3 linked regions of the Ovis aries genome follow. The protein of the gene in region 3 purifies or fractionates together with the protein of the main gene of each other region. This does not show direct contact. Links are inferred from orthologs where the notes say so. Each region holds a gene or a part of one and is shown on either strand. Other genes may lie near its edges.

Region 1 (3,649 bases), on a different chromosome or scaffold from region 3:
CTGTTCCCTTCTTCAGGGGATCTTTCCAACCCAGGGATCAAATCCAGGTCTCCCGCATTGCAGGTGGATTCTTTATCAGCTGAGCTACCAAGGGAAGCCCGTAATTCAGTGGCATTTAGAATATTCACAATGTTGTACAACCACTACCTCTGTCTAGTTCCAAAACATTTTCGTCATCCCAGAAGAAAACCCCAAACCCATTAAACAGTTATTTCCCCATTCCTCACTCCTTCCATCCTCTGGCAACCAACAATCTGCTTTCTGTTTGTATGGATCTGTCTGAATGTTTCATACAAGTGAAATCATGTAACATGTGACCTTTTGTGTCTGACTTCTTTCCCATGCCTAATGTTTTGCAGGGTTCATCCATATAGCATAAATCAGCACTTCATTCCTTCTAGGACTGAGTCATATTCCACTGTATGGATGGATCAAAATTTGTTTTTCTGTTCACTGATGGACAGTTAGGTTGTCCCCACCTTTGGGCTATTGTGGATAGTGCTGCTGTGAATATTTGTGTGCAAATATTTGAGAACTTATTTTCGATTCTTTGGGTGTATATACATAGAAATGGAATTGCTGGGTCATATGGTAATTCTATATATTAACTTCTTGAGGAACTGCCAAACTATTTTCCACACCGTTTTGTATGTCCACCAGCAATTTCTGAGGGTCTCAGTTTCTCTACATTTATTTCTGATTTTGGTAGTCATCTCTTGTTCTTAGTCAAGTTAAAGGTTTGTTAATTTTTTTTCAAAGAACCACTTTTTGGTTTCATTGGTTCTGTTGTTTTTCTATTCTATTCCCTGTTTTTATGTCTTCTTTATTATTTGCTTTCATGTGCCAGCTTTGTGTTTAACTTGTCCTTTTTCAAGATTTTTAAGATGTAAAGTTAATGATTTGATATCTTTTCTTCTTTTTTAATTAGATATTTATAGCCATAACTTTACCTCTGAGCACTGCTTTTGCTTCATCCTATCCAAGATTGGTTTTGCTAATTAGAAGTTGCATTTACCATGGATGATCATCTAACAGTTATTTTCATGATCTTGAAATATCAGGTAGCACTTGGGCATACTTATATCTCCAACCCTAGTAAGTTTTTGTTGCACTGAAAACCCATTAAAGGATGTATCAGCAGACTGCCATACAAGCAGAAGGATAGAAAATTTGTTTTTCTTTGCATTGTGTACAAATGCAAATTTTTAGAGAGTAGTGCAACAGTGGAGGATGTAGGTTTTTTGGCAAAACTGAATCAGTGTTAAAACACCACTTCTTACCTGGTTCTTATTTACAACTTTATAGACAATGTAAATAAAATCTTAGGGGTGTTAATGTATAGTCACCTGATTTTTTTTTTTTTTAACAGGTCAGCAGATACATAGAGAATGTTCTAAAACCTAGCCAGGAAATGAAGTTGAAAAAGCTGGAAGAACGCTTTTATCAGATGACGGGTGAAACCTGGAAGTTAAGCAATGGTCATAAACTTGGGGTTAGAAAATATTCTCATTTCATATTTTTTTAATCCTGCTATTGTTTATGTTCCCTTTAACATATACTAATTTTTTTAAAAATTTCAAATTATTATTCCAGTGTATTTTTAGGAGTCTTTATTAAGAATGCTTATATATCAGTTATATATATATATAGTTTTTATTGATCATATTTTTATGTCAAATGTTTAAGTGGTTTTTGGTGCCTAAAGAGCATATAACTTAGATCCTTGAAAAGTTCTAACTTAAGACAGTCTGAGAAAACTGTTGACTAAATCACATCTTTTATATGAGGGCATCCAAATCTCTTGGGTATTATAAGCTCACATTATATTCATTCTGTTTAGCTCTGTTTTTTGAAGCCAAATTGACCTTTGACTCTCTTCCTTTGGCATTGAGTATGAATTTTGTCATTTGCAAATGGAAGTTTACAATGTTAAGTTTTCTTTCAGCGAAAAAAGGATATTCATAAAGAAATTCATTTTTAGAGGAACTGGCTGCAGATTTTTTTGTGTAAGATGCTTTCTGTCCCAAAGACTTTTTTTTTGCTTTCTATTTACACTGTACCTCTCATCATCTCATAAAGAAGATGATCCAGTAGGGGTAAACAAGATTCTGACAATGAAGCAGAATGTTTGTATCCATTTCATAATGGTAAATCTGCCATGAAACCATCAAGGGTTGGTAAGAAAGTTAATGTGAAAGATGGCAACATAAAATACAACTGCTGTTGGTAGTGACTTCACTTCTGAATTGAGTTTGCTTTTGAACAGGGTGATGAAGATTTGGAGCTTGATAGTGAGAGTCAGACGTCTTTTGAAACATCAAACAGAGAAGCAGCAAAGAGACGGAACTTGCCTAAGACTGTAACCAAAGTTTTACCACCCACTGAGCAGCCCACGAAGAAGGAGGTTCATTACTTAATACCTGTTCACTGAGCTGTATCTGCGTGAAGTGGTATATTGAGGGAATCCAGATGGTGTCTTCATTAAGAATCACTTCAGCTTCATTAAGAATCACTTTTCTTGTTAAATACTAGCATTCTGAGCCAAACTTACAAGGAATCTAGGAAGGGAAATGATAGTACATTTAGTAAATAGTTCTTTTTAAGGAAGTAATTTAATTATGTAGAAACAAAAAATGCAATATTTACTAACGGAGACATTCCTTTGGGCAGCTAAGATACAAGAAGTCATATATTTTGTTGTTGAGTTGCTCAGTTGTGTCTAACTCTTTCTGACCCCATGGACTACAGCATGCCAGGTTCCTCTGTCCGCCACTATCTCCCAGAGTTTGCTCAAACTCATGTTCATTGAGTCAGTGATGCCTTCCAACCATCTTTTCTTCTGCTGCCCCCTGCTCCTTTTCCCTTCAGTCTTTCCCAGTATCAGGGTCTTTTCCAATGAATCGGCTCTTTACATCAGGTGGCTAAAGTACTGGAGCTTAGTTGAATGGCTAACGTTATTAACATGAATATATCATTGTCCTCAGTGCCCCTTTTAGGGAATGAGTTAGCAACCATTCACTCTGGAGTGATGTCCAGGTTTATTATTCCTTCTTTTCTTTCAAATCTTTAATCCTTAAGAAGACCAATTTGGAGCTGGTTAAGGTTGAAATAAGTGTATTTCTATCGAGTCTTAGGTAAAGCTGCTAAGCTGTGTATTCCCTAAAAGTAATTTCCAATGTATTGCTTCTCAGTCTGAGGTTTCCTGGTCCCTTCATGGAGCTTGAGGGTGGGAACTGGGTCTTTAAACTGTTTCTAACATTTGAAAAAGATCTAGAGAGCTACATGGACTTATTACATTTGTAAGATTCTTTGTTATGTGTTAATAGCATAGATTATCTCATGCTGATGGTAAATTCTAATTGACCATCACATATGTTTTTGATACCAAACAAAAAGAAATGATTTATTTAATAAATGCAATGAATATTTGTTAGATAAAATGTTATAAAATATGGAATCTATGGTATTAAAAAATAAAAAGCATCCCTTGAAGGTGAAATTGTTGTACAGTGTTTTAGTGAGAGAAAATGCTTTGTACATCTGGTGTTTTAATAGATTAACAGAAATAGGGAAATGTGGATAAATCATGAAAGCAACCAAAGTGGATGGTGGTTTTCCAGCCCCTTAGAAGGCACCAATAAAGAGAAAT
Region 2 (3,649 bases), on a different chromosome or scaffold from region 3:
CTCTGGTCGAGCTCTGTCAGTGACTGTGGTCGAGGACATCCCTGCACTTTTGACTGTCCCTACAATCTGAGACGTGGACACTCAGATCGAGTTGTGGCCTCTCCTTGGGACCAGCTAGGCTCTGAGTCATCTCAGCCCGCATTCTGAGCAGCCTGATGGCCCTGGCAAGCCTCAGGATGGGGTCTCACAGGGGCCAGTCCTAATTTACAGGCACCAAAGAGCTCCTCTCACTTCAAATAAAGGACCCCAATCTTCTCCAGAAAGATGAGCAGTCTGGTTAAAAAAAATTTTTTTTTTTTTTGCTGGTAAAGAATAGCACAGCCTAGAACAAAGTTTTATTTAGGTTAACTCTTAAAAAACAAAACAAAACAAAACACCAAAAAGCAAAACACATTAAAAACTTTATTGTTAAGTACCACGCATGTCTAAATTTGCATCAGTTTGAAACACTTCTGCTGGCTTTGCAGAACACAATAGTTGCAAGTTTCTTTAAATCTTTAACAGTCGCCTGCTTTAGGTCTTTCCAGGCTCGTCTGTTCTGGCCTCCCCCTCCTACCCGTGGTGGGGTCCGTCTACTCTGCCCCACGCTGACATCGGGTCACCCCTGGGCCAGTGGGAATCTGCTTCTAGAGGGGTTGGCCCTGCAGCTAGGGCGGCCTGTACTCCTCGAGGAAGCCCTCTCTTCTTGTTATTTTCTCTTTGTCCCATTTTTACTCCCAGCCCAAGTGGCTAACTGGGGATATTCTAAGCAAAATTCACCCCAGTGAAGTTTCATGGAGTATTCCAGAACTGCAAGCTGGTATCTGATAATTCTTTTTTTTTTTTTAATGGAAGTGGGGAGTAGCTGGGACAAATCCCCTGGACTGGAGCTGGGTAGAACAGGTGGAGGTGGGTTTAAGTTTCCTCTCCCTCCCTTGTCGGCGGGCCTGGCCATCTCTGCAGCTATGAACTGCTGGCTCTGGGGGAATGAAGACCCTGAACAGCACTGGAGTTTGAAAGCAAATTTGACTGGGGCAGGGGTCGGGGTGGGGGGCAATGAAAAAACGTCCATAAATAAAATCTGACAAGTGCTGTCTGAATAACAGCCCCCTTTCTGGCACAAATGATCTGATATCATGTAGAAAGATACGTTACGGTAGAAAGAATATTAAAGCAGCTGTAATTTCCCATCTGTAGCGCTATTCCCCTGCTTCCTGAAATCTGCAATTTGAGTGCATTTTAAACACGTCAGGAATAAGTGATGATTCTCCAGAGCAAGGGAAATACTCCATAAAAAAATAAAGATAGAAAAGGCATGCTATTTTAATGGCAAACTTACTTTGGATACTTAATGGTAACTGATCTTGGAATTAAGGGAGGGAGTGGCAGGGACCCCCTGTGCCCAGGAGGACAGTGGGGACTTGGTGCCAGCCAGCGTGCCATCTTGGGCTGCGCCCGCCGAGGCCAGCAGCCTGCCAGTCCCTGTGTTGTCGGCCGGGACCCTCAGTGTTGCAGCAGGAAGTGGGTGGCCACGTTAAGGTCGTTATTGGAAGCTCTCAGGGCTTCCAACGCGTCGCCCCTGGAAAACCCCATCTCCATGAGCCGGGCAACCTGAAAACAGAAACAAAACCGGAAGCCTGATGAGGAGGCTGACCGCACTGCCACCAATCCCCCAGCCCCATGATGTTCCTCGAGCGACTTTTAATGTTCCTCGTGAGCTTTTCAGGTTAAAGAGAAAATAAACCACCCTTTCATTTAGTGCGAAAGCTGATGTTTATGAAACGACAACGGACCCGTTTTCAGGTGCTCACTATATTCGGTCCACAGAAGTGCATTTTCTCACTTAATCCTCACTTTCAGAACAAGAAAGGGGGCTCCTGAGGGTCAGTGACCTGCCAGGACGAGCAGAGAATGGCTGCGCTGTGGGCCCCAGGCCTGGGGTGGGGGTGGAGGGGGCAGGTCGTACCAGCAGCCCCACGCACAGGCCTTCAGGGTCAATCGGATTCCTGAAGAATAACACCCCAGCCGCATTTCCCCGGGCAGGTGAACAGCTGCTTAACTGGGGATTTATTCCTGATGCTGGTGGACTCTGACGGTACACACGCCTCGGAGCTCCCGGCGTGGCTCAGGCAGAGCATGGCCTTGGGGTGCCCACCCCACAGCCTCTCCCAGCAGGTGCGGCGCCCCCGGAGTCCCCACCGGCAGAAGGGATGAAGTCCAGGCACAACCTCGCGGGGGAGGCAGCTAGAGCCACGGCGGAAATCCTGAAGCTGTGAATGCAGAGGCTTCCTGTACTTTTACATACAGGCGGTCTCCAAGGCTGAAACGGCAGGGTTATTGGTTTATTCCTTGTGACCTGTTTTCCTACTTGAAAATGTATTACAGAAACATTTAGGACCCTGGACTAGCTGCAGGAGTCTTTTCTTTAACTTATTTGGAAATAAACTACATTTGCAATAACATATATTGAAAAGTGATACTCTTCCAAATGTTAAGATTTTCAACAAGGTGTAAGTTGACGAGGGCCTGGGGACTTAGTCACCACTTCTAACCTCCTTTCCACAGAACGCGATGCCCGGGGGGCACACAAGGGTCAGAGCCCTGCCGCCCCTCCTTCCCCTGCGGAGGAAGGTGTGGGCGGGGCGAGTGGGGAGGGCGGGGCGAGTGGGGAGGGCGGGGCGCAGCCGAGTGGGCCAGAACCATTCAGATCCCAGGTCCCTGGGCCCTAAAGGAACCTTTTGTTGCTGTTCAGTCACTAAGTTGTGACCCCAGGGGCTGCATGCAGCACATCGGGTTCCTCTGTCCTCCACTCTCTCCTACTAGAGTTTGCTCAAACTCATGTCCATCGAGTCAGTGATGCCTCCAACCATCTCATCCTCTGCCACCCCCTTCTTTAGCCTTCAATTTTTCCCGGCATTAGGGTCTTTTCCAATGAAGTCAGCTCTTCACATCAGGTGGCCAAAGTATTGGAGCTTCAGCATCAATCCTTCCAATGAATATTCAGGGTTGATTTCCTTTAGGATTGTCTGGTTGGATCTCCTTGCTGTCCAAGGGACTCTCAAAAGTCTTCTCCAGCACCATAATTCAAAAGCATCAATTCTTCAACACTCAGCATTCTTGATGGCCCAACTCTCACATCCGAACATGACTACTGGAAAAACCATAGTTTTGACTAGGTGGACCTTTGTCGGCAAAGTGATGTCTCTGCTTTTTAATACACTGTCTAGGTTTATCATAGCTTTCCTTCCAAGGAGCAAGCATCTCTCATGGCTGCAGTCACTGTCAACAGTGATTTTGGACCCAAGAAAAGAAAATGTCACTGCTTCCACTTTTTCCCCTTCTATTTGCCATGAAGTGATGGGGCTGGCTACCATGTTTTTGAATGCTGTTTTAAGCCAGCTTTCTCACTTTCCTCTTTCACCCTCATCAAGAGGCTTGGGAAGAGGTTAACCCAGCTGGGAGGAAACAAGGCACACTTTTCAGAAGCTGGGGCTCTGGCCAGTGTTTTTCAAACTGAGGCTGGGACCCCTCATCAGTGGGTTAAGACCAAGATTAAAAAAGAAGCACATGGTGAAGGGCTTCCCTCCAAGGAACCTCATTCTGGTTCCCCACCCTCCACACACGCCCCCGAAGGGTCGACCTTGGGGAGGAGCCCAGTGGCCCATTTCCA
Region 3 (4,203 bases):
TCTGCCGTCCCCTTCTCCTCCTGCCTCCAATCCCTCCCAGCATCAGGGTCTTTTCCAATGAGTCAACTCTTTGCATGAGGTGGCCAAAGTACTGGAGTTTCAGTTTTAGCATCATTCCTTCCAAAGAACACCCAGGGCTGATCTCGTTTAGAATGGTCTGGTTGGATCTTCTTGCAGTCCAAGGAACTCTCAAGAGTCTTCTCCAACACCACACTTCAAAAGCATCAATCCTTTGGCCCTCAGCTTTCTTCACAGTCCAACTCTCACATCCATACATGACCACTGGAAAAACCATAGCCTAGACTAGATGGACCTTTGTTGGCAAAGTAATGTCTCTGCTTTTGAATATGCTATCTAGGTTGGTCATAACTTTTCTTCCAAGGAGTAAGCGTCTTTTAATTTCATGGCGGCAATCACCATCTGCAGTGATTTTGGAGTCCCCCCAAAACAAAGTCTGACTCTGTTTCCACTGTTTCCCCATCTATTTGCCATGAAGTGATGGGACCAGATGCCATGATCTTCGTTTTCTGAATGTTGAGCTTTAAGCCATTTTTTTCACTCTCCTCTCTCACTTTCAAGAGGCTTTTTAGTTCCTCTTCACTTTCTCCCCTAAAGGGGGGTGTCATCTGCATATCTGAGGTTATTGATATTTCACCCAGCAATCTTGATTCCAGCTTGTGCTTCTTCCAGCCCAGCGTTTCTCATGATGTCCTCTGCATATATATTAAATAATGAGTTTAAAAACTTGTTTCCAGTTGTGTAGGAGTTAGGAGATACTGTGCGCTAGACTCTGGAGCGACGAAGGCGTGGTATTATCGCAGTTCCTATCAAAATACCTTGTTCTTGGTCATATGTCAGTGGCAGTCACCAGACTCAACGTCAGAAACTACACGAAGGCGAAAAGTCTCTGTGTGTGCGCCTCGGATAGAGGGCTGGATTCCGTTAACTTCACTACAGCCCTATTTCAATTTTACAATGAGACTTTGAGGCTGAAGGTGGAAGTGACTTGCCTATGGCCACAAAGCCATAGGTTTGTTGGCTCCCACTATGGTGTACTTTCCGTCATACGAAGCTGAAGAGGCCTGCGAACAGCTCACAACCTCGCTCCCAGACAAACTCCAAAATATGACGACTTCAACTTCTATACTCGCCAAGGAAAATTAAACCGGTACTTGAACCAGAGACTCCACCCAAGTAGCCGCCGAGCCTCCTACTCAGCGCGCATGCGTCAGGCTGCTCCTCCCGCCCCCGCGCTTCACTCCTCCGCCTTCCCGCCTCTCCCCGCCCCTTTCCCGCCCGGATGTCAGTCTAGCTTTGCCGGATGTTGTTGTGAGTCCGGGAGACACGTGAGGCACTGCTACGTCATCACAGGCACGCGCAGGAAACATGGCGGCGGCGGGTGCTGTGAGCGGGAAGGTAGGTAACGGCCCTGGAGGGACACTGCAGTTTTTCTCCGGGTAGGGCTGCTTTTGCTGCTAGGAGGCCGGCTGGGGAGGGATGCGAGGGCCTTTCTGTATCGGGAACAGCGTGTAGAGGGTGTAGGAGAAGATGCCTAGTTGTCAGCTGTTTTCTTGAGAATGCCGGTTCAGCCCGGGAATTAAGAGACCCGGCTCCTACTCCAAGACTAGCTAGGCCGTGGCGCTGTTTGGTCCGCTCTGCCCCAGGGCGATAGGCTTTTACCTGTCTTGCCTTTTCTAAGAGACAGGTTGTTGCCCTATTGCGTTCTTTTTCTGGCTCGATTTTCTCTGAGTGTCGTTCTTTCTGTCACTTTTCGGACTCTAGGGATTTTTCTGTCTTCCTTTGAGGCGTCAGCCTGACTCGCCTCCGCTTTCCTCTGCTTCACTCTGGTAAGGCATCTTTGTCCTCTTCGGGAGGAACTGAAAACAGGTGCTTTGCAGCTGTGCACTTAGAAGAGCGCATTGGATCCATTTTACCAGATTTCGAGTTGATTGGTGATGGTGAGCAGTAGGGATGTTTCCTCTCAGGGAGCTGGAGACTTACAGCATCCCACGCTTGTCTAGGAAGGCGTTAGTTATGGTATTTATTTCGGAAGCAAAGCTGTGATGTTCCCGTGGGAGACTCTGTGGTGCTGTTTTACGGAGTTGGTCATCGACCGCCTCGTTTTTCGTTAGGAGTTAGGATTAAGTGCGGAGGATATTTCATTGCATTCTGCCTATTCGTGTTCCAAGGCAACGTCATAATGCCTGTTAGTACTACCGTGGCATACTATGGCAACATTTCCAGTTGCGGGCGTATTTCGTAAACAGTTGGGTGGGGTAATGACTCATCTCATACCAAGGCCTATTTACTTTCCGCGGAGAGCTTCGTCTGTTCCTTGATGTCACTCATTTTCTTTACGCTGCCTTCTGCATACCATTTTGAATTGCGTGACAGCGTTTGTGTTTTAGTGTATGAACTACTAGCCAGAATAACACGCTACTTTTACCCTGAATTGTGACCTTGCGAAATTGAGCGAGCATGACTTCTTTGTCCTTCAAGGTCTTTATCTCCAGAGCGGATGTGGTGCTAGTCATTATTTTTTGCATTGGAGTTAGGATTATATGAAATGATATAAGCATTAAGAAAGTACGTCCTTCTGCATACTGAATATTTTAAATGATGGGTAGGTCATCGTTTTCGAGTTTTCTCGGTCTTTGGTTGTCTTGTCTATTTCTGTCTTTAGGATGGGTGCTGATTTTCTCTTTGACTCATTACATACAGTAAGATTTTCTATCTGGACTGATCCAATCTAGGACTTTCCAAGAAGGGATCCTTTTTATTTGAACTACACTTCGCTCTTTCAGGTGTGGGTTGATTTTGATAGAACCTTTGCGATGATGAAGCGGAGTTGTGAAATAGGACTTTTTTCACCCTTTCCTTCCAGGCACTCACTACATTTCATAATTTGCGTCTTTTACTTAACGCTACTTTATCACCGCATTTATTCTCACACGTTGCAAACTTAAACCCATTCTCATCACTGAACCTAAATTTTTTTTTTTCATGCCAAAGGCTGCCCATCTTTCAAATAATTCTGTTGTAACCAGTGAAACCTGCTTATTCCTCCCTCTTCAAGTTCAGATCCAGTTAATGGCGTCATCATTTACTTGGTTGCATGTAAAACAAACTTGGAGATGTCCATTTCTGTAACAGCATTTAATCAGTAAGATGGTAGGACTAATCAGATCCTACCAGTTTCACCTTAAAGAGGTTTCTTAAATTTGCTGCACCCTCTTCATTCAGACATTTAGCCTTGAGTTCTCTGCAGGGTTTTTTTTTCTTTTCTACAGTCTCTTTGCCCAAAGTCTCCTCTCTACACAAGCACTAGAGTTATTTTCTAGTGCCCGAGGCTGATTGTCTCTTGTTTTTAAAAAAAAAAAAAAAACAAAAGTCTTCATTATGTTATTGTCACCATTAAAATAATACTCAAGGCTGGTTAACATGGCATTAAAAATCTGTGTTGACTTTCTGGCTTTATCTTATACTTTTCTACTTCTCAGTCTTGTTTCTTTGGGAAAAGGGGGATAGGAAAGAAAACACACATATATTTGTGAAAGAGTGTGTATATGTGTGTCTCTGTATTGATTTATTCCCCACCCCCACCCCAAAGGTTCAGCTAAGACCTGTCTAATTAGAAACCTAGGGCAGTGAATGTTAACCAAGACTTTTAGGAATCACGTGTGGTACTTTTAAAACTATGGATGCTGGGTCGGTCACAGCCCAATTCTATTCATTAGAACCTTGTGGTGTTTAGATCTAGGATGTAGAGTAACTTTCCTACTGAGTCTACTTGCTTGAAAGTTTGATTCTAGGAAGTCACATGGTGAGGAAGTTAATCTCTGTCATATGGAGAAGCAGTGTAAGATAACAGCTAAGAGCATGGACTCTGGAGAGCCAAGCCAGTTTCAAAAACTAACTTCACACTTACTAGTGATGTCAGTCAAATTACTTAATGTCTCTTTGTTTCAGTTTCCTTATCTGTAATATAGGGAGGATAATAGTGTGTACTTCATGGGATTTTTAGGATAGATAAGGAAATGTATTAGAACAAAGCCTGGCATGTGGTGTTTAGATCCTGTGTAGGTGTTACTCATCATCTTGATTTCCCTGCAAGTCAGTGGTTAACTATGGTAGAATTTTGAAGGTTTAGAATATGGTTTTTGGTATGAGTGTGAAATTCATTTTTGAATTTCAGTTCAGTCG

Evidence for each region.
Region 1: the proteins of TBC1D15 (region 3) and UBXN8 purify together in Homo sapiens (affinity purification with mass spectrometry; 3 studies listed by BioGRID and IntAct, counting the BioPlex papers as one, with this or other methods). This does not show direct contact. The link is inferred for Ovis aries from reciprocal best matches to the Homo sapiens genes TBC1D15 and UBXN8.
Region 2: the proteins of TBC1D15 (region 3) and UBAC2 purify together in Homo sapiens (affinity purification with mass spectrometry; 3 studies listed by BioGRID and IntAct, counting the BioPlex papers as one, with this or other methods). This does not show direct contact. The link is inferred for Ovis aries from reciprocal best matches to the Homo sapiens genes TBC1D15 and UBAC2.

What each region holds. Positions count from the first base shown.
Region 1 is NC_056079.1:26,015,812-26,019,460, forward strand, and holds part of UBXN8 (UBX domain-containing protein 8), read left to right. Parts: intron 1-1,369; coding exon 1,370-1,492; intron 1,493-2,266; coding exon 2,267-2,404; intron 2,405-3,649. UniProt on the Homo sapiens protein: Involved in endoplasmic reticulum-associated degradation (ERAD) for misfolded lumenal proteins, possibly by tethering VCP to the endoplasmic reticulum membrane. May play a role in reproduction.
Region 2 is NC_056063.1:75,587,720-75,591,368, reverse strand, and holds the end of UBAC2 (ubiquitin-associated domain-containing protein 2), read right to left. Parts: intron 1,591-3,649; coding exon 1,483-1,590; 3' UTR 384-1,482; downstream 1-383. UniProt on the Homo sapiens protein: Restricts trafficking of FAF2 from the endoplasmic reticulum to lipid droplets.
Region 3 is NC_056056.1:107,916,121-107,920,323, forward strand, and holds the start of TBC1D15 (TBC1 domain family member 15), read left to right. Parts: upstream 1-1,353; 5' UTR 1,354-1,386; coding exon 1,387-1,416; intron 1,417-4,203. UniProt on the Homo sapiens protein: Acts as a GTPase activating protein for RAB7A. Does not act on RAB4, RAB5 or RAB6.